Linked DNA regions of Canis lupus familiaris. The protein of the gene in region 2 interacts with the protein of the main gene of each other region in a pairwise test. Links are inferred from orthologs where the notes say so. Each region holds a gene or a part of one and is shown on either strand. Other genes may lie near its edges. The genes, in order: ZCCHC10, STAC3, C14H1orf35, MAB21L3, L3MBTL2, PPARA and FAM133A.

Region 1 (3,500 bases), on a different chromosome or scaffold from region 2:
AAAATATAAAAAAGACAACATTCATAGTTTTAAAAACCCATATTTAGCCCGAATCAAGATTTTTCTACAAATGATAACTCTTTCCAAAGAGCTTAAAAGACATCACAGAATGATGTCATGCGAAACAAAATAATTTCACCACAGCAGAGTATTTTAAGAAACATTGTGCAATATTTCTTTTTAATCTTTCATGCTACACTTCAACTGTGTATATGCTATGTAAACACACCAGATTAGTCCAAGTCATTCATATTTATGCAGTAGAATGTCATATATGACCAGCTGCCATATAAACTTATACCACAATTGCAAAAATGGTAAAAGGCAATCCTTATGAAAGCTTAGAAAAACTTAATAAAAGGCAACCAACATTGCCCTAATTCTCTGTTAAAATTACCTTTGTACCTATTTTTTCCTCTCCTACCTTTTATAGCATAACAACACAAAGATACTTGTATCACTTTTCCTTAAGTTAGGCTTTTAAATGACTCTTTTCTAATACACAGAATTTATCAAAAGGCACCAAGATTAGACTCCTAAGTAGTTTCAGAATTTTGGTTCCTTTTTAGGTTCTTCTGATTGATTTTCCTCAGAAAAAGAGTAACTTTACAGGATACCTGGGTGGCTCATTCAGTTAAGCATTTGACTCTTGATCTCAGCTCAAGTCTTGATCACAGGGTTGTGAGTTCGAGCCCAGCACGAACTTAAAAAAAAAAAAAAAAAAAAAAAAAGAGTAACTCTAAGAGCCAGAAGAAAATGGATGATATAACACAATAACTTGACATTTGTACCATCCAAAAGGTATAAATATAATAACAGGTTCCTTGAGCTTTTCATTTAGGACAAGAAGTCAGAATAACTTTCTGAACATAAACATAAAAATAGGGCACAATTTTTAAGAGGAACACTTCTAATTTTATAGTAACAATGTATTAAATCTTATATAATAACACACAGCCAAAAGCATTAGAAATTCACTGCCAAAAAAAAAAAAAAAAAGAAATTCACTGCCAGATATTCTGATGCATTATCCTGAAAATATGTCTGGTACATAGCACTAACATATAACAAAGGATGGCAATTATCTCACAGGGAGAAAAGATAAGTCTCATCCCCAAAACAGATTTACTGGATTCAGCTTTGATTAAGTTTTAGAGATATATATTAAAAATAAAAAAGAAAAACAAGATTTACTCTTAAAATAAAAAAAGTCTTATATATAATCCATTAATACTCTTTATGCTCTTCTGATGTAAAACATTTAGAAATTTTTGAACTCCAGTAATTTTGACTGGTTACCCTATATGGCCTTAATGTAGTCTAAATACCCCTTTCGAAAGTCACATTAATTTTTTGAGTCCAGCAGTACAAGAGAGATGGCGTTCTATTTCTTTTTCTTCTTCTTTGGTGGTTCATCCTCAGAGCTGCTCTCTGTGCTGGTGCTGCTGCTACTGGAAGAGCTGGAATCTGAGTCTGAATCAGAGGACGAGGAAGAGCTTGTGGAGGAGGATGAAGATGAGGAACTGGAGGAGCTTTCATCAGTGTCGCTGTCCTCTGAGGAGGATGAGGTAGACGTTTCTTCACTCTCTGATGAAGAATCACTGGCTGAACTGTCGCTGCTACTGCTGCTGGAACTGGTTACACTCTTAGACCTAGTAGACAGTGAGGAGTTACACGCACAGGAAGCTGACACCTAACAGATTGTTGGAGAGCAATTTCATGGGGAAGCGATTACATACACTGAAGCTCTGCTAGCATGGAATCACTAGACCCGAAGCGCTGGGGATTGCATAACTGTAGAAATCCCGTGGCAACCACAATGTCCTTTACTTTGGCACTTTAACTATCTTGGACAGAATTCAAGATAAGTACTCCTACTGTACTATGATCCAGGAAGAATAATGTTAGAATAAAGTTGCAGTGGAACAACTGGGCTTTCTTAAACCTCAGGTAGCATGGTGTTTCAACATCTTTACTTTGAATCAGATATAGCTGGTCAACAATTTCTTACCAGTCTAATAATATTTCCTATTCTAATATAGGAGATTTTTAAGAGAAATTATTTACTATTTCCAGGGAGAAAGCCTCTGGAAAGCTGGAGAAAAAAAAGTGAAGGCAGAAAGGTCCAGTTGGGTAAAGAGAGGAACAGATCATGAAATAAGGATGATACTTAATCAGGAATGACAAACAAGAGACTTCAGATCCAAACTTTATCACAATTATTTTTAAAGCATTCTTCCCATTCCTCTCACTAGTATTATTTATTATCCACATAATACTCCTAAAGCCACACATACCTTTTTTTCTTGGTCTTCCTTTCTACATTAGTTTCTCCGATGCTGATAAACATGAAGGGAGAGAGGGGGAAGCTCCTGTTAATAAAGTGATTATACACAGTTCATATAAACCCTTCAGCTATCCCCCAAACTGTCTTTCACTGGAGAAACACTCTGTCTTTTGTGGCATGTACGGAGCCCAGTAATTCTTGTTATAACCTGCCTCTCCCTCTCCCTCTGCCCCTCTCTTACTCCCTTTCTAAAAAATAAAATTCTGAATTGAGTTGCCATTACTAATATTACTATGTAATTGATTAAAATAATATAGGAATACATTACACATTTTAATAATTATCACACATCAAAGTAAATTTATTTGAAATGCATCGATTGTTTTTCTAGCTCATGTATCTCTGGATCTTACTGCTAGATTGTGACAATGTTCAGCATTAATTCAATTCCTGTATTTAACATTTATAGATTTAACCCTAAGAAACCTTCTTACCCTAAATAGATAGATGGAAATAGAGTATTGTTGTAGTGATGTCACTGTTTGAATATCTCCGATGATGTGGTCCACAAGTCACAAAGATGAATCATTAAAAAATAGTTTTATTGGGGATCCCTGGGTGGCTCAGAGGTTTAGCGCCTACCTTCGGGCCCAGGGCATGATCCTGGAGTCCCGGGATCGACTCCCACATCAGGTTCCCTGCATGGAGCCTGCTTCTCCATCTGCCTATGTCTCTGCTTTTCTTTCTGGGTCTCTCATGATAAAGTAAATAAATAATATCTTAAAAAAATACTTTTATTTATTATTTATTATTGGGGGGGAGGGTGAGAGGGAGAGGGAGAGAGAGAATCTTAAGCAGGCCCTATACCTTTTATGGAGCCCAATGCAGGGCTTGATCTCATGATCTTGAGATCATGACCTGAGCCAAAATCAAGAGCTGGATGCTTAATTGACTGAGCCACCCAGTCACCCCTAAAAAATACTTTTAAATTGGTAGCTCAATTAGGTCTTTCTTCAATTTTGCTGGGAAAAAAATTACAAAAGAATTTATTCCCAATAATTAGAGCTATCTACTTTCTTAGTACAAACACCAGTATTTCAAAAATGTCTAAATTTTTATACATGAAGAAAAGGGAAGTAGAAAAGGAGGATGAGCAGGAAAGTACTAACATAAATTTATTTTTGGAAAAATTATATATGAATGTTGATGACCC
Region 2 (3,935 bases):
TGGAGCACTTACAGAGATCTTTGACACAAGCGTACTGCTGGTTGCTGTAGAGTGGGGAGCTATAGGCCCGGTGGAAACCAGGGGGCTGTAGGGTGGGATGGGAGAAAGCATTAGAGACAGCAAGCTATGGCCCAGAACCCCATCTCTCCCATGAGTAAACCCCTTCTTGGGGTAAGAGATGGGCTGAGAAAGAAAAAGCAGGGAAATGGATATGACGACTTGGGAGGGACGGAGGGACTGCAAGGGGGGAGCTGGCAACACGTCCCCTCCCTTCCTTCTCGCTCCCCAGAGCCTACTCACGATCTTGCCGAAGCATCTCTGCATCTCCACATAGGACTGACAGTGCTCGTGGATGTTAGTTTTGCAGTTCTTACAGCGAAGCCCAAATTTGTTGTTGACTTGGGAAAAGCAAGAACATTTGGGTCAAGTTCTCCATTGCCCCTTCCTTTTTGTACCAGTGCTGCTACTCTAGCTCTCAGGTCCCTTTTTGGTCTAGGACCACATTCTCGGGTTTTTTTGTTTCTTTTTAAATATTTATTTATTCATGAGAGACAGAGAGAGAGAGAGAGAGAGAGAGAGGCAGAGACAGAGACAGAGGGAGAGGGGGAGGGAGAGGGAAAAGCAGGCTCCATGTAGTAAGCCCCCTGTGGGACTCAATCTGGAGACTCCAGGATCATGCCTGAGCCAAAGGCAGACAGATGCTCAACTGCTAAGCCACCCAGGGGGTCCCACACTCTCTTTCTAATGGTGTTGATTTTTTATTTTTATTTTTATTTTATTTTTTTGGTGTTGATTTTTTATTTTTTTTTTTAATTTTTTTTTATTTATTTATGATAGTCACAGAGAGAGAGAGAGAGAGGCAGAGACATAGGCAGAGGGAGAAGCAGGCTCCATGCACCGGGAGCCCGACGTGGGATTCGATCCCGGGTCTCCAGGATCGCGCCCTGGGCCAAAGGCAGGCGCTAAACCGCTGCGCCACCCAGGGATCCCTGGTGTTGATTTTTTAAAGATTACTTTTTTATTTGACAGAGAGAGAGCGCGCACGCAAGAGAGGGAGGAGCAGAGGGAGAGGGACTCTCCCCCTCAAGACCTGAGATCATGATCGGAGCTGAAATCAAGAGTTGGACGCTTAGCTTAGCCGGCTGAGCCATGGCTAAGCCACCCCTGAGCCACCCGGGTGCCCCTCTGCTAGCGTTTTCTTAAAGCTGCCTCTTGCTCCAGTCTGCCTGCTATACAAATGCGCCTCTCCTGAGCCCATTCCCCCACCTCCTGCCTTCAACATTACACTCTCTCTACTTCCCTTCGTGACTCACGCACAATCATCCGGGCACAGACATCACAGAACTTGGGCTTCTTGAAGAAATGATCTTTGAATTTGTGAGGCTTATCATTGACAAGCTTAGGAGGTTCTGGGGGTGGCTCTTCCTCCTCTTCTTCCTCCTCCTCTTCCTCATAGATGTAGTAGATGGGCCCACCCCCAGCTCCCACTGCCTCCCCATTGGCCTGGGGCTCTGGGGGAAGCTCCATCTCCTTTGTCCCGGGAGACTCCTTCCTGAATAACTGCTTCAGCCGCTGTAGCTGAGGGTGGAAGGGGATGGGGGAAGGGAGGAAACCCAAAGTTAAAAGATCTGTCATGCTCTCCAGAGCAGGTAAGGCTGACTACTAACTACACATTTTTCCAGTGTGGGCAAGGGGCACACCCCAGGATTAGGAGGTATTGGGGGATGCAGGTGCTGGCTAGCATTCTGACAACGGATCAGTCACATACAAGTGAGATTAATTCAAGCATTCTTGAAGGGCCGCAGTGGCTTCCCAGCTCCCCATACCCAGTGGTCACAGGCCCAGACTCACCCCACTTTGCCGAGTCTCTGCTGGGAAGGAGGGCTTAGAGGACTCCAGCACCTCCTTTTCTGTCATCCTGCAAGAGGTTGGACCCCACTATGAAATCTAATCCCTGACTGCTGTTCTTCCTGTCCTTCACTGTAGGGTGGTTCTTGAAAGGGAGATTTTAGGAGAAATTTGCTTAAACAGAAATCCTTTTACATAGGCTTATCGACAGATTCCATGGAGGTCCAGGGAAAAGCACAGCCGACTAAAGAACTTCCCAACCAGCTCCTGATATCCATCCTTCCCCACTGAGGGGCAACCCAAGTTGACAGCCCCAACACTGTTCAAAGCTGCATGGCTTAGAGATTTTCCTGGTTTCTCCTGGGAATTTGTGGGCAAGAGGGATGTGACACACACCTTCCCAGATCCCTTTTCTTCAAGAGGTTTAATGTGTCCAGAAGCATGCTTGGAGGGATGGGCTGGGAACATCTGTTCACCCATACCCCTTTCTTGAGTCCCGGGGGCCCAGGGCCTAGTTCCCAGCCTGCCTGTCCTCAGCTATTTTAAGTTTTCAGAGTAATATGAGCCTTTCTTTCCCTTACTACTCCATTCCCTTGACCCCACCTCCACCCCACCCTCCAATCCTAGCTCTTGTCCTGGAATAATAATTTCACTCCTAAAACCCCAACTACTCACAAGCAAGAGAGAAACGAAGACATTGAATAGGCTACAGATTGGGGAAGCTGCAGGGAGCAGTTCTGGCAATGGACAGAGGACGAAGAGGCAACTTACGTTTGGGATTCCCTAAGTCAGCCCACAGTCTGTGGAGGGAAGAGGGAGCCCCTGGGGTCTTGATGGTGGTGCTGGGGGAGGACTGGTCCTCTTCCTTGGGGGCTAAGCCCCCCCAGTACCCTCTGTACTCACACCGGCTACCCAGACGTTATTTGTAGACCTCCTAGTCTCTCGCCTTGGTGTCACAGCTGAAATGACAGGGCTGGAGGAAAGTGGACAGCTGAGCGACACAGCTGACACAGAGAAATTGGACACGGGGAGGCCTGGGCTGGGCTGGACCCTAACTCCTCCCATCCCCCAGAGCTGCTATGCCCTGGTTTTTTTTATCTATGGTGTACAGGTCAGTTTTGGCTAAATTTAAGAAGGGACAGTGTCTGTTCATGTTGCATACTTCATTTAGGTGATTTTGGATGACTGAAGATAAAGATGAAATTGTAAACAGTTTTCCCCAAGGTCCAAATACATCTCCAATTCTACCTTCCCTGGACCTACTTTAGAAACTAGCTTTTGATTTTTCAGCCATTGGCTTCTTGTGGCCATGTGTTTTTACACCCTCAAGCACTCATCTAGCTTCAAACCTTTAGGAAGGAAAGAATTTGAATTCTCAGAGGTTTCCTATCAGCCAGACTAGACTGCATCCTTATCCAATAGTGGTGGGAGGGGTACCCTGCTCCGTCCTGAAAGGTAGTGAGGAACATGCATAGTACTGCTTTATTCCCTCCAGTACCCCAGGAACATCTTCCCTCCATTCTAAAATCTTGTCCTCAGGGTGAAGGGAAATCTAAGAACTACTGAAAAAATCCAGGCTGGGACTTCCATCTGAGGGGCTCTGGGGGATTGCGGGTCTGATGGTCAGGTAGGTAGAGATGGTCTTGTTCAGACTGGACAGAAGGCCATAGCTACCACACAGGGCGGGTTTTATCTTCAGTAAGTAACGTCTGCTTCCCCATGAGGATTGCAAACTTTTGGAGATAGGATAGCTGAGCCCCACACTTCGAAATCATTTTGATTCCCTGATTCCATCTCCCTCATCTGATGCCCCAGTATATGAACTTATGGGTCAATGAGATATCTGGCATCTTATCTCGCAGGGATGCAGCCTTCTCCTACTCTGGGCTGTGACATGGCTGAAAGAGAAGATACTCCCATCTCGGAGGACAGCCATTTGGATGTGGTCATGTAGTGCTGCTTTATCCCTTGTATCTGTAAGAAGTAAAGGATTATGTTGGAGGCTGGGTCAGACAAGCCTCAGAGGAGCCTGGCTAGAGATACTGCTACCCACACCCAAGAGATTTCCAGGGTAATGTGCTTTGTCA
Region 3 (4,001 bases), on a different chromosome or scaffold from region 2:
ATTTCGACAAACAAGCACTGTAATTATAGCTACTAGAATAAAATCTCTTAACTATTTCATGGCTTTCCAGTGCTTGGGTGCCACTGACCCACACTTACCACTGTGCACAGAGGATGTCACTGGCTAGGGACCTACATGGTGTGGCTCACTGCTCCCTGTGTTAGGTGTGCATATGACCCAGCGCCCTCTCATCGTCCACCCGCTGACTGTTAGTGCAGCCCCTGGTCTATTCTGTGGGACTGGGACGTGGAGGGACAGCAGGGTCACCACACTGGGTGTGCCCGAGGCCTGCTCTTGTCCACGCCCATCCCTGCTAGCCAGCCTGCTCCTGAGGGGTAGGAAACCCCTGGCAGGGCTCCTAGTGGCTCTTTGGCTGGAGACCATCCCTCCCACCTGACTGGGCATGCTGGTCTGGTTCCTTCTCCTGGCTGGGGGCGCCCAGTCTGGCCCCCGCCCAAGATTGTTTATACCACTACCAGGTTGAAACACCAGGGCCAGGGTTATGAAGACAGAATCGTTTTTAGTTTGATGACTTAAAGCCAAAGATGCCAGTTTCACAATCATGAGTGCACCCTGGGTTTCATCCTCCCTGCAGGCAGGCTGTAATAGGAGGGTTTAATGACTAGGTGCTCACCTCCCAGGGGTGGGGCACACTGCTGGCTCCAGGTGCACGTCTGTGCCCTGGGGTTGGACATGGTAACCCAGGGAGAGCCCGCCCCCCCCCCCCCTCCCCGCCCTACCAGCAGGGTCTCAGGCTGGTCTTGCTGGAACTTTACTGGGACATGACAGCCACCTTCCCTCAAGGATGAGAGGCTTTCCCCTTAAAATAAGTTTATTTAAGTACAAAGTGAGTTGAAGAAAAATAGAAGTGTCTCGGGGCCTTCCCAGGCAAGTGTGTCCTCCCGGGGCAGGTCCCCTGCTGGACATGGGGGCCCCTTGTGATCTGGCCTCAGTCACTGTGGTGGCTGCGTCGCCTCTTGGAGCAGGGCAAGGAATCTTCAGAGTCAGAGCCGCACTGGTGGTGCCCCGGCCTGGGGATATGGGGACATGTGGTCAGGGGGAGGCTGCCCTGCTCCCCAGACCTTCCCTCTGCCCCGGCAAGGCTGAGCACACCTACCTTGCAGGAGCTGGAGACAGTGGAGAAGCCACCCTGCTCCTGTGTGCCTTGTCTTTCTTCTTCTCTTTCTTGTGCTTCTTCTTCCTCTTCTTCTTCTTCTTCTTCTCTTTCCTGCTCTTCCTGTGGCTCTCCAGGCTGCAGGGACGTGGGGTGGCGTCCCCTGTGCACTGTCCACACAGACACACCCCCCCCTCCCTGTGGCCAGTGGGTACAGCGGTCCTTCCTTCCCGTTGTGGCAGGAAACTGCCAGGAGCAGCAGAGGTAGGAAGGCGCCCTGCTTCCCCATCCAGGGAGGAAAAGCAGGGGTGGGAGTGCACCTTGCCTCCCCCTTGGGGGAGCCCAGCAGGTGGGCCTGGGACCAAGGGGTGGGAGCAGCCCTTACCCAGGCTGCACCTTCTCCTCCTCAAACCGAGGCTTCTTCCTAGCAGAGGTGGGGGAGGCCCCTGGGCGGCTGCTCTCCACGCGGTGGTGCTGGGGAGGGAAGGAGCAAGGAAGGAAGGCACTCTAGGGGGCTGTGGGGGGGCGTCCCAGTTTCGGCGCCCGCCCGATTCTGGGGTGCCCCGCCCGCAGAGGGGGGTTTACCGTGAACACCGACAGCCCCAGCTTGGCGGCCTCCTTGTCTTCCCGGGACAGTGCCACTCGGCCTGCAGAGCCGCTGCGGGAAGGCAGGCGAGGACCCCACGGTGAGAAGGCCCAGGCCTCCCTCGGCGGGGCGGTGCGTCCACCTGGGGAGGGCCCCTTCCACCCCCCAGCCACGCACCTGGAGCTCCCTAGGCCCAGCAGCCGGTCCACTCCCTTCTCCTCATGCTCCCCTCCTTCTCGCTTGCAGACCTCCACAAAGTCCTGTGCGGAGCCAGCGGGTCTCAGGCGGGGGTTCGCACAGACTCCGGGCGCCCCGCCCCCCGTGCGCCGCTCACCTCCTTGCTCAGGCCAGTGGGCTGCTTCCTCACGTTCTTGTAGCCTCTGTGGGGGCCGCGGGCGAGCTTCAGGCGGCGGCCGGAGTCCCTGGCCTTGCCCCTCGGACCCCGCCTCGCCCCCGGGCCCCCCGAGCTCCCCCGACCCCGCGGGGCCCACTCACAGCGCCGCCATGAGTGCCTCCTGCTCCGCCTGCCGCACGGCCGCCAGCTCCTCCTCCCGGCTCAGTCCCGCGCCGTCCGCCCGGCCCTTGGCGTACCAAGTGAGGTCTCGGCCCTTCTGCCAGCGGCCCACGGGGGCCATCAGCGAGTTGCCTGCGGGGACGCAGCGCGACTGCTCGGCCCGCTGGTCGCCGCTCCCCGCCTTCCCACGCCCGCAGCCCCCCTTTCCCGCACCTCGCGCCCTCTCCTTCCCCGCCCCCGCGCCCCCGGCTGCCCACACCGAGAACCTCGCAACCCCGCTTTCCCGCACCTGCGGCACCGCGCACGGCAGCTCGGGCGTCCTCCCCCGCCCCCCCGCCCCCGCCCCCCCCGCCCCCGGGCCCGGCGCCGCACTGACCCAGGTAGTTCTCTCTCTGTTTGTCGGTCTTCACGTCCTCCCAGCTGAACTGGTCCTGCCCGCCACGCACGCCGCCCCGGCTGGAGCCGAACATGGTGCCAGGCCGCCCGCCGCCCCTGCCTCCGTCAACCCTGGCCTGGCCGCCCCGGGCGGCGCCGGCGCCGGGGTCCCGCCGCCGCGTCGCGCGCCTTGACGTCACACTCGCGCATACCCGGGCAGCGCCGCAAGCGCCTGCGCATTGCTCCCCGGCCCCGCCGCCCCGCCTGCCCCCAGCGCTAGGCGCACCGCCCGGGAAGGGAGCGGGCGTAGGCGCCAAGGCGGGTCCCGAGGATCCTGCCGGCGTTGGGAGCCACATTGTGCGGGCGACGGTCCTGGGGCTGTGCCGGGAGATGGGCGAGCGGGTGGGGCCGCAGTGCCGGGAGCGGGCACCGGGGGCGGCTCGGCTCCGGAGAAGCGGGACACGGCCTGCAACTCCCGGGGCCGTCCCCTGGAGACCCCAGCGTGGAGGGCAGGCGGGACGGCGCAGGTGCGCCAATGCACGGGCTCCTCTGGCGCCGCGGGGGGCGGCTGTGCTGGGCAAAGCAGGATCAGCTCCGAGCCCTGGACACGGGGGAGCAGCGGCATGGACAGTGTGTGAAGCCCCCCACGTGGGCGGCGGCGAGGTCCTGCGGAGCGGGGGTCGGGGGCCCACACACAGGAACACCTGGTGCAGATGGGACCTCCACTGACCAGAGCGCTGCAGACGGGCCTGGGCCTTCCGTCCACTTCACCGTGTCACCCGCTGTGGTGAAGAGCCTGCCACCTCCGGCCCCCTTCAGAAGCTAAGCAGGTGCCCGTGCGTTAGTGGAGGTCTTGCCAGGCCCACCAGCAGCAATCTCAGTAGGTGGTTTCTGCCAGAACCCCCTGCCTGGGGCGGGGGGGGGCCCTCTTAGTGATTTCCGTCACCAGCACCCACCCTGCCTTGTGGCTACAAGTCCCACTTGTCCCTGCCCCGCTCACCCTCTGCTCTGCTGTTGACCCCTGCATCGTTGCTGTGACCCCACTTCAAGGGAAGGGCAGACAATGCCGTTGGATGTTCCCAGGACCCTGCGCGTGGCCAGGAAACTCAGTGGACCACCAGGGACTTAGGAGTCCAAAGGTGGGTGCTTAATGCAGCACCCTTCGCCAGGAGCCCAGACACAGCCCCCTCCCATAGAACGTGGGCACCTTCCCCACCTTTTGTATCAGTGCCCTACGGTGGGCACTCACTCAGGTTTCCAAGAGTCCTGACAGCCCAGGCCAGGGCAAGAGGCAGGCCTGGGCCAGGCCAGCGACAAGTGGAAATGTTGGGACTTGGCCTTTTGGTCTTGCAGAAGCCTGGCCAGGCTGAAACCCACCACTGGAGCAGAAGAATGGCAGCCGACCACAGGTT
Region 4 (3,954 bases), on a different chromosome or scaffold from region 2:
CACACATGAGAGGGAGAGTGGAAGGGGGTGGATGTCAAACCCAGGAGTGCTGTGGCTCCCAGAGAACCCGTGAGCACACTCTCTGTTGAACAAACAGCCCCAGCCCACAGTTGCCAGGCAAGAAACTGGGACCTGTGGCTGTCAGGTATTCTGATGTTTCCCTTTTTCCAGAAGATGAAACTCTAGATTTCTATGCAAGATCCCACTATTTTGAAATGTTTGTAACAAATTTGAAGCAATTTAAAAATATTCTGCAGGCCAAAGAAAACCTGTGCACAGGCTGGTTCAATGTGTAGAGCACTGTTAAGAATCTCTGCTATTGGAGATGCAGGGAAACATCATGGAAAGATAAAGTATTACTTGGATGCCAGACTGAAAAACGTGGACTTTTTTCTTTCAGAAAACACAAGTCCATGGGGAAAATGCCTGGCAGCCTCCCTTTATTCCTTTAGAATAGCCCCCAAAAGGGAAAATACGGGACGTCACTTTGTTGGCTATAATTTTTATTATTGTAAGTGTCCCCTATTTATCTAAGTGGTTTGCTTAAGAAATCAACTTTATTTATCACTGTGATAATGAACTCTACTTTGTTTACTTGGGAAGGCGTGTCCCTAAAACTTAGACAAATCCCTAACCTTAGTTTTTAGTTTTACAGGTGGCTCTGGGCCTTAATAGCTTCATCAGTAAATGGAAAGCCTTAATTAAGTGAGATCATATTTAAGGGGCCTTCAAGTTGTAACGTTCCAAGAGTCTCTGCCTCTCTACAGAAGAAATTCAGTTAACTGTTAATTGATGTGATAAATATGATATCTATTTTTAAATCGAGCAGTTTTAGAGTTTCTGAAAGGCATTCTTAATCCCATTTACTCTTTTTCTAAGGCCCTATTATCACCCCCATTTTACAGAGAAGAAAGCTGAAGCTCTGGCAGGTTAAGTGCCTTGTTCGTGACAATACCCAGTATCAGGGGCAGAGCCAGAGTTCCAACCCACGTTCTAACTTTCTGTTCCCGTTTAACTTTCTATACCCAACGTGCCTCTGGCACTTAGAACCTTAGAGAGAAGACGAAAATAAGATAAGTCCCTAAATACTCTTATGAGTGATGGTCTTGGGTTCCTGAGGAGCATTTCATGTATCTTTGGAAGCAGCCTGACATCCCTTCTGAATCCAGGCTGGTGGAGTGGGAGGGAGCCAGGTGGGAACGTGGGAGAGCAGTACTTGTCCTTACCTTATTCAGGAGGCATTCTTCCAAGTCTCCTGCAGTTGGGGATTTCATGACTTCTTGGTCAGTCCCCAGTGGAGCAGCAACGTCTTGGTTTGTCCGTCAGTGGAGGACAGTACTTGCAGGTTGGTTTCCCAAGAACGTTAGTCTCGGTGCTAAATTTCTTTGAGGATGTATACATGGACCAGAGACTGGTCTTTCCAATTCTTCCCTCCAGCTCTCATTTCCAAATCGGGAGCATCCAACTGTCATCTTTCAGGAAATTTTTTTTTAAAAAAGGAATTTAAAAAGGAGAGTTGATGGAATTGAAACTGAATTGGAGTCCAACCTAATAGGACTCGATTAAGCTCTATTGTCGGGTGCTTTGACCGAAGGGCAATATTCCAAGTTGTATTTCCCATTCAAATATTTAAAAGCTCCATTTGAGATAGAAACGCTCTGTAGTTGGCTTCTTCTCCACCTTTTTAAGCTCTTGTCTTAATGCTAGATGCATCCTGGAGCCCAGTATCTTATATCTCCTTGTTCTTATCCTGTTGACAGTAAATATTCCTTGCCCTCCAATCCAGAAAATCCCGCAGATTGATTTACCTTCTTTACCATAAACAAATAGGGAACTGCCAAACAACCAGTCAGGCACTCGTCATTCTGCCTGAAAACAAGCAGGTCCAGGTCTCATCAACCAAATCAGGGCACAATAATTTGCATGTGGAAAAGCGCGCACACACACACACACACATGCACACACACACAGGCATATCCAGAAAGGGCAGGACCAGGGACCCTTCTCCTCACCTGCTGAACTTTAAACATAATTTACCTCTTCCTGCTTGAAAGCTGGCAGTAAAAATAAAGTCAGTGTAAACAGGCCCCTTGAGAGTCAAGGAAACACTCTTGTCTGGTTTTGCCAGCAAAACCATGTTGGAAAACAGCTCAGGCAGTAAATTCCCAGTCTGGCTGGCTGGGGCTAGTTTTATTACAGAAAAAAAAAAAAAAAAAAAAAAAAAAAAAATTCACAATGGCCTGATCTCCCTGACGCTGGTAAACATCAGAGACTGCTATCAGATGATCTAAAGAAATTACAGCGCTTCTGGGAGCCCAGCTCACTTCTGGGCAATGCTCTGAGTAAATGCCTTTCCAAACCCACCTCTGAGAGCTCAGCAACGGTGTTGGTTCCCCGGGCCACTCAGCTCTCTGTAACCACAGTATTTGCATATCTCCCCGCTCTGCCCGGACTAAAAGCCTCATCTGAGCCACACCAGAGCTCCCTGCTCCACCCACCTCATTAATCCCAGCGTTCACGCCAGCTTCTATAGGTCCCTTTTGTGCAATATTGTCGTATATTGAAATATTCTATGTAAATATTGTAAAGCTACCCTTCCACAAAACTGCCTTGATTTTCCATTTTCTTCTCTTTGTAATTCAGAGTTTCCTTCATTTGATATCAGATGCTCCCAAACATTTCAGAATCTTCTCTTGACCTAACCACTCGTCAGTTTTTCACAAACAGAACATGAGGCTGCCTCTCTGAATTTCCGACAACTCAGGATTTCCTCTCCACCTTCTTTTCGGCTTCATCAAAGTCCTCCTGGTTTCTCCCATGAGCTCTTGTTTTTGTCTTTACTTCTGCTTCATTACAATCATTAACTTGGGATCCCCTGTCCTCTGGTGGGCCTCTCTTACGGTTCTAATTTTTCCCCAGATGCCTATCAACCAGATGCACAAATTTGCATCGTTCTCTACCTGTGGCTGCCCTACTTGCTCCAGCGTGGCCACAAATCAGAATGTTGAAACTGCATTTCTCTCACTAGGGCTCAGTGATGCTTCCCAGATGTGAACCAGGAGAACAACCAGTAGGCCAACTGTAGAGCCTGGGAGAAGGAAGAAGTCTGTGTTCCAGCCTCATTTTACCTGGACGTCATACCTGGCAAACAAGGGGTTATATAAGCACAACCTGTTCCTTACTCTCTGATAGAGTTTTCCATGGCAAAGCTTCCAATATATAGGGCAGTTCAACAGTGCAGACCCTCTGACAGATTGGCAAAGAGGACCCTTCTTTGTAGATAGAGATCTCTGGCTAAGTGGCTTTTGGATTAGCAAATATTTATTGAGCAACAGTCTGCCTAAGGCACTATGCTGGGCCACAGAGAAAGATTCAAAGTTAACTCAGATTCTCCTCCTTTCTTGGGAAATAAATATCCTCATTTCTCATGACTCATGCCAAATGCAAGTATGAACATGCAAACCAGCTTTGGCTCAATTTCTATTCTGAGGACCAAGGAGTTATTTTTTAAAGTCAGTTTAGCAAGGTATTCAAAACCCTAAACCAACAATAGGAAAGTCCTAGGAAGACAATGTCACTCCTGATTTACCAACAGAAGTGTTTGCTATTGATTTACCTAATGGCTGCAATTTTCATTCCAAGAAGGGTTGGCTTGATCCAAATCAATCTTAAATACACAAATTTGTTACAGTTCACCAAGATTACAAACTCTGATGTATTTTTCAAAAACTTCCTTTAATCCTACGGTGACTCAAAGCTGACAGCTCCGAGGACCAGATAGAGACAATTGTCCATGCTCTGAGGAAGCCCCCAGCAGTGAAGAAGGCGGTGACTCTATCTGTTCTGTATCCCCACTATGGTCCAGTACCTAACACATAATTGACGTTCAATAGTGGTGAAAATTTGATTGCATTATAGATGAAATGATATTCTCAAATATAAGATATTTGGAGA
Region 5 (4,055 bases), about 23 Mb from region 2:
AGCAGCTGGTTGAAGAGAAAACTGGGGCCAGGTCATTCAGGGGCTTATGGAATGTTTGAATTTTTTTGAAAGTGCAGGGGGAAGCTAATGGAGGTTTTAAGCAAGGGGATGAACATGATCTGGCTTATGATTTAAAAGATCACCTGTATTAAAGAAAGTGAAAAGTCAAACAGGGACCTGTTTGAGGCCTATTGTGCTGGACTGGTGGCTTCCATGAGGGTGATAGTGGAGGAGGAATTCAGGATACATTTTGGCTGTAGAACCAACAATACTGGTTGATAGCATGAATATGGGGTTGGTGGCAGAAGGAGTTAAAGAAAAGAAAAATCAAAGACTTTCACATCTATGTGGTGGACCTCAAATTTAGAAATATTTTTAACATATATTCAGCCTCCATTTATTACATTTAGATTCTTTTTTTTTCTTTTGTCTATTTTTTTTCAGTTTATTTTTTAAAAATCTCTACACTCAGTGGAGCTCCAACCAATGATCCTAAGATCAAGTGCCTCAAGATCCTCTGACTGCGCCAGTCAGGCGCCCCTACATTTAGATTCTTTTTTTTTTTTTTTTTTTTTTTTTTTTACATTTAGATTCCTAATTCATTAGAGCACCGCATAGCACAGGGAAAGAACCTGGACTAAACCTTAAATTCCAATTCTTAGGTTCCAATTCCAACCTTAAATCCCAATTCCAAAGAGCCACAGATTCATCTTTAATAGGGTGATGGGCTGTCTCCAGATTTGAGCTGTTGTGTAAAAAGCTCCACCAGAGCACCTAGAACTGAGTGTTCAAGGAGGTTGTGAGACATCCAAAATGAGGGAGGCAGAGTGCCTCATACTCGAGGTTTTATTCAGGGGATGATGATGGAGGGACAATGTTACAGGATTTGGAGCATGTGAGGCATTTATAGCACTGGGCATAAGAGCAATCCGCTTTCTGCCGGAATTGGAAATGCGTTTCTTTGCAAGTCGTCCTGGCCCAAGGGCACCTTAAAATTCTTCTAATCTGTCATTCCTGGTGCCTAGAACAGCACCTATCGTACGTGCTCAAGAATTGTTTGCTAAAGAACGGAGTAGGGCTGAGAGGTGGAGGTTAGCGCAGAGAAACGAGGTCTGCCGCAGTGCCGCAGGGATTTTCACATCGCTATAGCAACGCACCCTTCCACGCGCACCCACAGGGGAACTACAAGTCCCACAAGTACCCGCGGCTTCCCCGCCCCCCCCGGGGCTGGGGCGCGGGCGAGCGCGGAACCGGCTTTTCCTTTTTCCTGCAACGTGATTGGCCCGCGGCTCTGGGAGGCGGCCAATGACTGCGCTCAGGAAGAGCCGCGAGGCCAATATGGCTTCCTGCACCTGGTGACGGTTGAAGAAACGGGTGTTAGGTCTCATGGAGAAGACGCGGGGCGTCGAGGTGAGAGGGGGAGGATTTATCGTGACCGGGAAAGGGAAGCCCTTGAGCCTCGCACGGGGGGCCGTTCTCGAGGCCTTGGGGCGACGCCTGGAGGGTGGAGAGTGGAAGGATGGATAAACTGAGGTAGTTAGGCTGAGCAGGGCCAGAGGCGATTGGCGTTGCCTTTTGCGCCCACACCGCTGGGGCCGACGTCCCGCGAGTAGGTCGGGGCGGAACAGCCTCCCTGGCCTGCGGGAACGGGAACTGGGTTCAGGATCTGGGAGCTCCTGGATCTTCTTTGTCCTCCCTCTCTCTGGTCGTTTCTTTGGGGATCAGGAGGCCTGTGACATCCTGGTGGGACGTGAGGGAGATTCAAGTTTCCTGCCACTGCGTGTCTGGAGCGTTCACGGGCATTATCGCCCGGGATACTCACAACAATCCTGTGTCACTGTTTCGTTGTTATGGTTGGAGTAGCCGACGCTTACAGCCAGATGGTGCCCCCCAGGAGGGCCACCCAACCGCAGCGGGAAGGAGATGGGCACCCAGTCGTTCAGGCTCCCCAGCCTTTCCCACTCTCCTGCAACCTGTAACCCACTCACCCCTGGGTCACTTGGCTTCTGGTCACCTTGTATTTAAATTCGGTCTCTTCTTTAGCACATTTGGGGACGTAGTTGTAAACCTGAAAATGGAATAGCCCCCAAACTGTAAAGGGTAAAGGAGAATAAGCACTCACGCGTTTACAGCCCTCCCTAATGGCTAGAAACAACTAGGCTTTACACATCTCAGTCTTCATTCGAGTTATCTGAAGAAGGCCTGCTGTTACCTCTCTTGTACTGATGAAGAAACTGAAGAAACAGGCTCAGTATGTTGCACAAAATCACAATTGAGTGGTAGAGCCAGGATTCAGGCAAATCTGGTTGAAAAGCCCCATGCTTTTACCCAGAAATAATTGCCAGTATGTCTTGAATACTTGCAAGGCACTGTTTTGAGTACAACACTTATATTCACTCTTATTTCTCCCGCAAAGCTTCTGAAGGAGGTAGTTTCCTCATTTACAGAGGTGGGAACTGATGCACCAAGAGACTGACTTGCTGCAGATCATACAGCTGGTCAGCGGTAGAGATGGTATTTGAGCCCTGGCCTAGGACCTTTTCTACTACATTCCTTCCAGGTGGATTGATAGACAGTATCTCATTTACATTTCACATCCTGTGAGCTACTTATTTCACAGATCAAAAAGTTGAGGCCCAGAGGAGTTAAATGACTTGCCCAAAGACCCACAGCTAGTTAGGATTGGAGCAGAGTCCAGAGCTATGGTACATACATACACTGTGCGATAACTAGTGTGTCCTCTGTCTCCTAGATCCTCCTCAGGGTAGGATCCGCGTCCCAAATTGACTTTTCTGTGGCTGAAATGGTTTCCGAATTGACACTGTGTTGATGTACATATGCTGAAGGGGGGAAGTTGATTTTCTAACATACATCTTCCCCCAGAAAGTCTTCATGAGATAACAGAGTATTTTCACATCATCGTATTCTATTTGAATCAAGTTAAAACATCATCATTTATAAATACACAGGAGGAGCTTGGTGAATTCCTGATATTACCTGTTTTGTTAAACTATCCTGATGAGTTTCAGTTAAGAACTATATAAACAGGAGTAATGATCCTGGTGTTTGCAAAAGGGATATTTGATTCTGCCTGCCACTTGGTCCAAAGGTGTTGACCAAGACCTGGAAAAGATGCTGGTAGCTGACCTGCATCCTTCTTCCCCATACACTAAGCTAGACCTGATTCCTCCAGCCTGGTTTGTGTCATCCTTCCACTAGGAGACTCCATCTTCAGAACCTATGGAAGAGGAAGAGGAAGAGGAGGACGACTTGGAGCTCTTTGGTGGCTATGACAGTTTCCGGAGCTATAACAGCAGTGCGGGCAGTGAGAGCAGCTCCTATCTAGAGGAGTCAAGTGAAGCAGAAAATGAAGATCGGGAAGCAGGGGAGCTGCCCACCTCCCCGCTGCATTTGCTCAGTCCTGGGACTCCCCGCTCCTTGGATGGCAGTGGTTCTGAGCCAGGTGCTTTCAGAGTGTCCCCTGAAGACGGGGAGGTTTCAGGAGGCTATAGAGGAAGAGGGGAATATAGGCCATGTGGGCAGAGCCATCCAGGTGTAAAAAAAGCTGTTTGATCTTAAGTCTAAGGGCCTATGAACTAGACAGAAGTAGCCCCAAGGGACTACTACTAATTTCCTTTGCTGCAGTCTGATTTCAAATGACTATTTCCTTTGTTCTTTCATACGACTAATACTTATTTGGCACACGTTAGATGCCAGTCATTAATATGGTACTGCTTTTACATTTGTGTGAATAGGTGCTTGATTTTTAAGCCTGGATGGCTTTTGTTTTGTTTTCTTTTTTATTTATTCATGAAAGACAGAGGCAGAGAGAGAAGCAGGCTCCATGCAGGGAGCCCAACATGGGACTCGATCCCGGGTCTCCAGAATCACACCCCGGCCTGCAGGCGGCGCTAAACCGCTGTGCCACCAGGGCTGCCCTTAAGCCTATGCTCTGATTTACTATCTGGGAAAGGACAAGAAATAGTTTGTGGGTTGGACGTGAGGGGGGAAATTAAAGAAGGGTGGAAATTAAAGAATCAAGTGACTTCCTGGGG
Region 6 (3,488 bases), about 19 Mb from region 2:
GAGAGCTGACACAGTCTCCGTTTGTCTTGCTCCTGCTGACCACGGGACCACAGACACCAGCTGGAGAAAACAAGCAGAGCGTCAAGTCCGGGGGGGGGGGGGGGGGGAGTCTTGAGACTCAGTTTTCTGGGATCTTCTAGACAAACCTAGAAACAGGCCCTCCTGCCTATTAAGTCACAACCCCCAACACAGTGAAAACCGACCGACTGTTGCATTTGGATAGCTTATCAAATAATCCTTGGAAATTTCAAATCCTCTGATTAAGAAACAGCATGTTAAAAAAAAAAAAAAAAGAAACAGCATGTTGTCTTTCTTCAAATTCAGGAAACAGAATTAAAGTCTCCCCAATAAATATTTTGCTGCTTTTAAAAAATAACCTAACCTTTGGATTCATCTAGATTTACAGGATTATAAAAGTTAAAAAGTGCTGATTAGTTTCCAAAACGATACAAAGGAGCGCAAGAGTCAACAGGTGGCAGAAAGAGAAGACAGACCACGTATTTCAAGGTCACCAGTTAATTCAAGGCTACACGGCTAATGTGATATAAAGAAATCTGCATGGATTAACATCAAGTGAGTTAAAATCAGACTGCTGGGCATCATTCCCCTTAATTTTCCAAGAACTGCCTATCAGCTACCTGTCACCGGCGTTTCGACACTTGGCACGCTCTTACAAGTACTGATGTGAAAAAGAAAGAAATGTGGTCTAGGTTTCCGGTTACCTAGGGCTCATCCGTCCCATTCTCTAAGGTGAAAATGGTGGAATTTGTGCAAAGCAGGCATTGCTCCCAGTTTTCATTTGTAGTGCTGTCGACTTTAAAAGTCCTCGAAGAGCTGCTTGTCGTGCGGTTCGCTCTCAAGCCGTCAGTACATGTCCCTGTAGATTTCCTGCAGCAGGGGGTGCAGGGCTGCGTCCGACTCCGTCTTTTTGATGACCTGCACCAGCTGTGCGTGCTCGGTGACCAGCTGCCGGAGGTCTGCCATTTTTTGAAGGAGTTTTGGGAAGAGAAAGATGTTGTCCGGGTGGTTGGTCTGCAGGTGAAGTTTGAGCACATGCACAATGCCCTCCTGCATTTTTTCAATGTGTCCCACGTTTAGAAGGCCGGGGCGATCTATTCTCAAAAGAAATAAGAGACGGTTGTGATAAACCTCCCACGGACACCTCCTAACTGTTTATGGGTTCGGGAGACCAAACATTCTTACTCTTACACTGCCTTCCAATAACGTTGACTCGGCGGGAAGACAGACCTCGATTCTTCCAAAGTCACTGGGCCTAATGCGCAGACAGGACAAATACTCGATCCTAAGTATTTTTGTACTCCCTTAAGTCGACCAGCTATCCTACACCATGGCCCTTTCATTTTGGATTTCCTTGATGACCACCAATTAGGGGAAAAAACCCAAAACATAGGAGTAATCAGACATTCTGATGACGATTAAAACAACCAGTTTTGTATAATATGAAATGAAATACATCTTGAATCAAAACTAGATATTCAGTTTTAAGTTCTCCACCACTGTTTTAAGGATTGCGTTAGACTGGGTTTTGTGGTAAAAAGCACTCGTTAGGGGAACAGATGCTAGGAATCTTCCAATATGAATCTGCTGCATAGACAGTGGAGTGAGATGTGAGTGGTAGATGCTACCTCGATGGGGTGCTGACGAGCCCCAGGAATGCCTGAGATCCGGTGCAGGCAGTTCAACGTGTACACCACACGCCCTCCCTGGGGCAGCTCAACCGCAGGCACCAGACCTCCTGGGACAGAGGAATGCACACGTCCTGGGCACACGGGTCTTTGGTCTAGAGTATTCCCTGTCCCCACTGCCATCCAATAGGCAGTGCTCTCTTTAAGGCCCCACTCCTTACTAGGGTTGTTAAAAGTGCTGCTAAGGATGTGGACTTTTTCATTGCTTTTTCTGGGGTTGTAAAATGAATATAATTACTAACTTTTTAAAAGGAGAGATTAAAAAAACAAAGTGAATTCCCCTCGTAAGGTTTAAGGTATACCACACCAGACACTTTTCTGTACATAGGATTGATATATGATTTTTTTTTTTGAGAGAGAGAGAAATGGAGAACATGTGCGGTGAGACTCCCCACTCAGTGCAGGGCCCAATGTGGGGCTGGATCTCACGACCTTGAGATCATGACCTGAGCTGAAATCAAGAGTCACATGCTTAACTGACTGAGCTGACCGGGCGCCCCGGGATTGATAAGCGATTATAACTTCTTTTAGAAAACTCTGCTCGTACTACCTATAAATGGTTGTGCGCTTGCTTTTTACTCACAGCACTACATCTCGAGCATACAAAGGACAATGTAGATTATGTACAACTGTTTTTGCATTTTACATTTTTTGCCAGAGCAGAAGGACTCCCTCCACCTGACTGGGGGCAGCTGAACAGTAACAGGAACAGGCCTTGTGGGGCTTCCAGCGTCTGGGCGTCTGTGGCCAGCCTCAGCCCTGCAAGTCAGCAAACCGTGCAGGACAGTACAGCTTCTGGCAGTTTGCGGCAGTGGTCGGTGGTCACCCCCCTTGGCCTCCCTGGGGGCTGGGTGAGGTCAGCTGAGTTTACGGTATAGGGATGACCTTCTTATACCAGGACAGGGTTATTTAAAGGAACATGACACTGAGCCAAAATTCTGGGAGCTGCAGAGCCAGCTTCCTTGCAGAGAGGCCCAGATTTTCCTTCACTGGGATCCATTTCCTTTGGCAAAGCAAACTGCAAACACTGCCAGTGAGCTACTGATATTTTTCATTATGAAATGGAATAAATATACCAATGGTGAAATAAACTGCACTAACATCTGTACGGCCCTTTATAGAATACTGCCTATAATACGGATATAACACTATAATAATAGAATTATATAACAGTAACATGATACACTGTACATTGTAACATAATTCTTTCTAATATATATTAAATATATTAGATAAAACTATATTACCATTACACCTAATATATTATGTTTGATATGATTATATTATGATTACAAATAGAATATTACATATACAACATAATTATGAATGGGACATATTCATTTACTGCACAACTATGTGTTTATATATAATAATGTATGCTGTTATGTGATATGATAGGATATAAATCTCACTGAATTCCAATCGGCGGCGATGTAGGGGCATAGACGCCCTCCCATCTGCCAGCGCATGCTCCACTGTGCATGATGCACGTGTGCACCAAGAGGCTGCAGGTGACACGGCGCTGGGTTACGTCAACGACTTACCTCCACAGCAAATGATAGCAGCCACAAAAAGGGAGATGTCGCTGTCATCTAGCTCCAGTGCATTGAACTTCATCGCAAAATCAAACTTTGGTTCCATGATATCACAGAACGGTTTCCTTAGGCTCTTTAGGAACTCACGAGTTATAAAGCCATTTCCATAGGCTACCAGCATCCCGTCTTTATTCATCACAGAAGACAGCATCGCAAATATGGCCTCATACACTCCATATTTCAGTAG
Region 7 (3,500 bases), on a different chromosome or scaffold from region 2:
TGGGAAAAAGACATGAACAGAAATTGCACAGAGGAAGACATAGACATGGCCCAGAAGCACATGAGAAAATGCTCCGTATCACTTGCCATCAGGGAAATACAAATCAAAACCACAATGAGATATACCACCTCACACCAGTGAGAATGGGGAAAATTAACAAGGCAGGAAACCACAAATGTTGGAGAGGATGTGGAGAAGGGGAACCCTCTTGCACTGTTGGTGGGAATGTGAGTTGGTTACAGCCATGCTGGAAAACTTTGTGGAGGTTCCTCAAAGAGTTAAAAATAGAACTGCCCTATGACCCACTAATTGCACTTCTGGGGATTTACCTACCCCAAGTTACAGATGCAGTGAAACGCCAGGACACCTGCATCCCAATGTTTATAGCAAAAATGTCCACAATAGCCAAACTGTGGAAGGAGCCTTGGTGTCCATGTGTCCATCGAAAGATGAATGGGTAAAGAAGATGTGTGTGTGTATATATATATATATATATATATATATATATACACACACACACACACACACACACACACAATGGAATATTACTCAGCCTTTAGGAACAACAAATACCCACCATTTGCTTCGATGTGGATGGAACTGGAGAGTATTATGCTGAGTGAAGTGAGTCAGTCGGAGAAAGACAAACATTATATGGTCTCATTCATTTGGGAAATATAAAAGTTAGTGAAAGGGAATAAAGGGAAAGGAGAGAAAACGAGTGAAAATATCAGTGAGGGTGACAAAACATGAGAGACAGCTAACTCTGAAATGAACAAGGGGTAGTGGAAGAGCAGGTGCGTTGGGGGTTTTGGTGACTGGGTGATGGACACTGAGGGCAGCACTTCACAGGATGAGCACTTGGCGGGATGAGATTATGCTATCTGCTGGCAAATTGAACTCCAATAAAAAATTTAAAAAAAATAAAATAAAATCCTGTGCAGACATCACCATCTCTAGGAAGCTGCCCTGAATCCTCCTTTCTCTCAGAGCCATACACCCATCTATCCATTCATTTGTTTGTTACTACTGAACCAATACTTATTGACTATTTAATATGAGCCGCAGGGCATGCTAGATACTAGAAACACCATGGTGAATAAGACAGATTAAACATGACCTTTATTTTTCTCAGCCTTGTCATTAGTAATGGATACACACACACACACACACACACACACACACACACAATCAAATAAAATAATCACCAGTTTTCTAAGTGATGTGAATAAAAGACACAAGGCTCTGTGATACAGAATAATATATATGAAGGGTAGATTCAAAGGCAACATACTTTAATATAAGGTGGATACATATGAAGTTGCTGGTATATGACTGTGTCTGTCCATATAATTGGCAATTTTATGTAGTCTAAACTAATAGTTTCCTTTCAGAGGAATTGACCATTAAGCTAAGACCTGGGCACCTGGGTGGCTCAGTTGGTTAAGTATCCAACTCTTAATTTTAGTTAAGTCATGATCTCAGTGTTGGGACCTCAAACCCCACGTTGGACTCTGCTGGCATGGAGCCTGCTTAAGATTCTCCCTCTCTCTCTTCCTCTGACCTTCCCCCCTTTCTAATAATAAATATATAAATAAAAATAAATATATAAATAAATTGAGACCTGAAGTATGGGGTAGCACTAGACATGATGACTAAGCTTGGAGCTTCTCATATTCCATAAACCAAGGAAATATATGAGAACATAGAATTGAGAAAAGGAGTGATTAAAGTAAGAGAGAGAAGCAGGACAGATCTTATAGGACTTTTATAGGAGTTTGAATTTGATTTTCATTAAAATATAAGGCCACTGTAGTGTTTTAAGACCTACTGATGGTAGTGTGGGGCTGGAATGAAAGAGAGTAAGGGTAGAAACAAGGTTATCATTAGAAATGACAAATACCCGCCATTTGCTTCAATGTGGATGGAACTGGAGGGTATTATGCTAAGTGAAATAAGTCAATCGGAGAAGGAGAAACATTATATGTTCTCATTCGTTTGGGGAATATAAATAATAGTGAAAGGGAATAGAAGGGAAGGGAGAAGAAATGGGTAGGAAATATCAGAAAGGGAGACAGAACATAAAGACTCCTAACTCTGGGAAACGACCTAGGGGTGGTGGAAGGGGAGGAGGGCGGGGAGTGGGGGTGAGTCGGTGATGGGCACTGAGAGGGGGCACTTGACGGGATGAGCACTGGGTGTTATTCTGTATGTTGGCAAATTGAACACCAATAAAAAGTAAATTTATTATTAATAAAAAAAATTTTAAAAAAGAAGGTTATCAATTAAGAGGCTGATGTAAAGAGATAATAGAGTGTTATGTTAGGTGTTCAGGGCTTGGAGTCCGGCTGCTTTGGTTTAAATCCTAATTTGGACATTTATTAACTGCTACTTTATGCAAATTAGTCAAATTCTCTAAGACCAGTTTATTCAACTGTGAAATAGAAATAATAATAGAATCAACCTCATAGGATTAGTCTAGAGATTGAATAAGATAATCCACTGCAAAACACTAAGCAGTCCCTGGCAGATAATAACATTTAATCAATACTAGAGATTAATAATCCAAGTGAGAGATGATAGTACCTGGACTAAATTGATGACAATATATTTGGAGAGAAGTGAATGTGTATGGAACCTATTGTGAAGTCTTAAAAAGCAGTTATACTAATGGATTAGATGTGAGATTGAGGGAGAGAATTTTTCAGGTATGATTCCTAGGTTTCTGTCAGAGCGGACTTTTTTAAATTGGAGGAGATCTGCCTCACATAGAATTTAGCTATAGAAATTTATCTTTTTATACTGTATAAGGCCAAATGAAGGAAAGAAAAATATCATATAATATAAAAGGAAGTATTTATTTAAAATTTAGATAAGTCAGAACCTTATATGGGGTATATAAAATCCATTGTTATATTCATACCACAATATCTAAAGTATGCAAAAGTCTTAAATGTCTATATTCTTTGTTCCCAAGGTCTAAAATTTTAAAAATTTCTACTGTACTATATGATAGTGAACAATTAAACCAATGTCTTTGCTGTATATATATTAAAGGTGTTTTATAACCATTTCCTTCTGCTTCCCTAACAGAATGGGGCCTGCTTGATATATCAGCAGGTGAAGAACCAAAGAAGGGTTTATCTTTATTCTTCTTAGCATTGAGAGTCTTCTCTTGGAACCAGTAGGCACAATGGGGAAGCGGGATAATCGAGTGGCCTATATGAATCCTATAGCAATGGCCAGATGGAGGGGCCCAACTCAGTCTACAGGCCCAACAATACAAGATTATCTGAATCGGCCAAGGCCTACCTGGGAAGAAGTGAAGAAACAATTAGAAAATAAAAAGAAAGGCTCCAAGGCATTAGCTGAATTTGAAGAAAAAATGAATGAGAATTGGAAAAAAGAATTAGAAAAAAGCAGAGAGAAATTATTGAGTGGAAATGAGAGGTCTTCTAAGAAAAGGGGAAAAAAGAAAAAGAAAAAGAAGAAATCTTGTC

The links.
Region 1: the proteins of STAC3 (region 2) and ZCCHC10 interact in binary tests that used the Homo sapiens proteins (3 or more experiments, as listed by UniProt). The two-hybrid records come from large-scale screens. The link is inferred for Canis lupus familiaris from reciprocal best matches to the Homo sapiens genes STAC3 and ZCCHC10.
Region 3: the proteins of STAC3 (region 2) and C14H1orf35 interact in binary tests that used the Homo sapiens proteins (3 or more experiments, as listed by UniProt). The two-hybrid records come from large-scale screens. The link is inferred for Canis lupus familiaris from reciprocal best matches to the Homo sapiens genes STAC3 and C1orf35.
Region 4: the proteins of STAC3 (region 2) and MAB21L3 interact in binary tests that used the Homo sapiens proteins (3 or more experiments, as listed by UniProt). The two-hybrid records come from large-scale screens. The link is inferred for Canis lupus familiaris from reciprocal best matches to the Homo sapiens genes STAC3 and MAB21L3.
Region 5: the proteins of STAC3 (region 2) and L3MBTL2 interact in binary tests that used the Homo sapiens proteins (3 or more experiments, as listed by UniProt). The two-hybrid records come from large-scale screens. The link is inferred for Canis lupus familiaris from reciprocal best matches to the Homo sapiens genes STAC3 and L3MBTL2.
Region 6: the proteins of STAC3 (region 2) and PPARA interact in a two-hybrid assay, tested with the Homo sapiens proteins (2 studies listed by BioGRID). The two-hybrid records come from large-scale screens. The link is inferred for Canis lupus familiaris from reciprocal best matches to the Homo sapiens genes STAC3 and PPARA.
Region 7: the proteins of STAC3 (region 2) and FAM133A interact in binary tests that used the Homo sapiens proteins (3 or more experiments, as listed by UniProt). The two-hybrid records come from large-scale screens. The link is inferred for Canis lupus familiaris from reciprocal best matches to the Homo sapiens genes STAC3 and FAM133A.

The regions. Positions count from the first base shown.
Region 1 is NC_049232.1:21,261,205-21,264,704, forward strand, and holds part of ZCCHC10 (zinc finger CCHC domain-containing protein 10), read right to left. Parts: intron 2,373-3,500; coding exon 2,298-2,372; intron 1,653-2,297; coding exon 1,385-1,652; 3' UTR 1-1,384.
Region 2 is NC_049231.1:1,728,874-1,732,808, forward strand, and holds the start of STAC3 (SH3 and cysteine-rich domain-containing protein 3), read right to left. Parts: upstream 2,801-3,935; 5' UTR 2,620-2,800; intron 1,994-2,619; exon of another isoform or gene 1,919-1,993; 5' UTR 1,918-1,918; coding exon 1,852-1,917; intron 1,579-1,851; coding exon 1,314-1,578; intron 399-1,313; coding exon 301-398; intron 86-300; coding exon 13-85; intron 1-12. Other genes in the region: R3HDM2 (R3H domain-containing protein 2), read right to left, coding at 3,700-3,822. UniProt on the Homo sapiens protein: Required for normal excitation-contraction coupling in skeletal muscle and for normal muscle contraction in response to membrane depolarization. Required for normal Ca(2+) release from the sarcplasmic reticulum, which ultimately leads to muscle contraction.
Region 3 is NC_049235.1:508,279-512,279, reverse strand, and holds C14H1orf35 (multiple myeloma tumor-associated protein 2), read right to left. Parts: upstream 2,779-4,001; 5' UTR 2,685-2,778; coding exon 2,591-2,684; intron 2,347-2,590; coding exon 2,196-2,346; intron 2,081-2,195; coding exon 2,035-2,080; intron 1,961-2,034; coding exon 1,878-1,960; intron 1,773-1,877; coding exon of another isoform or gene 1,700-1,772; intron 1,589-1,699; coding exon 1,500-1,588; intron 1,253-1,499; coding exon 1,118-1,252; intron 1,032-1,117; coding exon 751-1,031; 3' UTR 501-750; downstream 1-500.
Region 4 is NC_049238.1:54,109,715-54,113,668, reverse strand, and holds the start of MAB21L3 (protein mab-21-like 3), read right to left. Parts: upstream 2,801-3,954; 5' UTR 2,013-2,800; exon of another isoform or gene 1,473-2,012; 5' UTR 1,275-1,472; coding exon 1,227-1,274; intron 1-1,226.
Region 5 is NC_049231.1:24,975,246-24,979,300, reverse strand, and holds the start of L3MBTL2 (lethal(3)malignant brain tumor-like protein 2), read left to right. Parts: upstream 1-1,255; 5' UTR 1,256-1,386; coding exon 1,387-1,410; intron 1,411-3,219; coding exon 3,220-3,463; intron 3,464-4,055. UniProt on the Homo sapiens protein: Putative Polycomb group (PcG) protein. PcG proteins maintain the transcriptionally repressive state of genes, probably via a modification of chromatin, rendering it heritably changed in its expressibility.
Region 6 is NC_049231.1:20,888,656-20,892,143, forward strand, and holds the end of PPARA (peroxisome proliferator-activated receptor alpha), read right to left. Parts: coding exon 3,251-3,488; intron 1,113-3,250; coding exon 865-1,112; 3' UTR 501-864; downstream 1-500. UniProt on the Homo sapiens protein: Ligand-activated transcription factor. Key regulator of lipid metabolism. Activated by the endogenous ligand 1-palmitoyl-2-oleoyl-sn-glycerol-3-phosphocholine (16:0/18:1-GPC). Activated by oleylethanolamide, a naturally occurring lipid that regulates satiety.
Region 7 is NC_049260.1:69,566,840-69,570,339, forward strand, and holds part of FAM133A (protein FAM133A), read left to right. Parts: intron 1-3,093; 5' UTR 3,094-3,193; coding exon 3,194-3,500.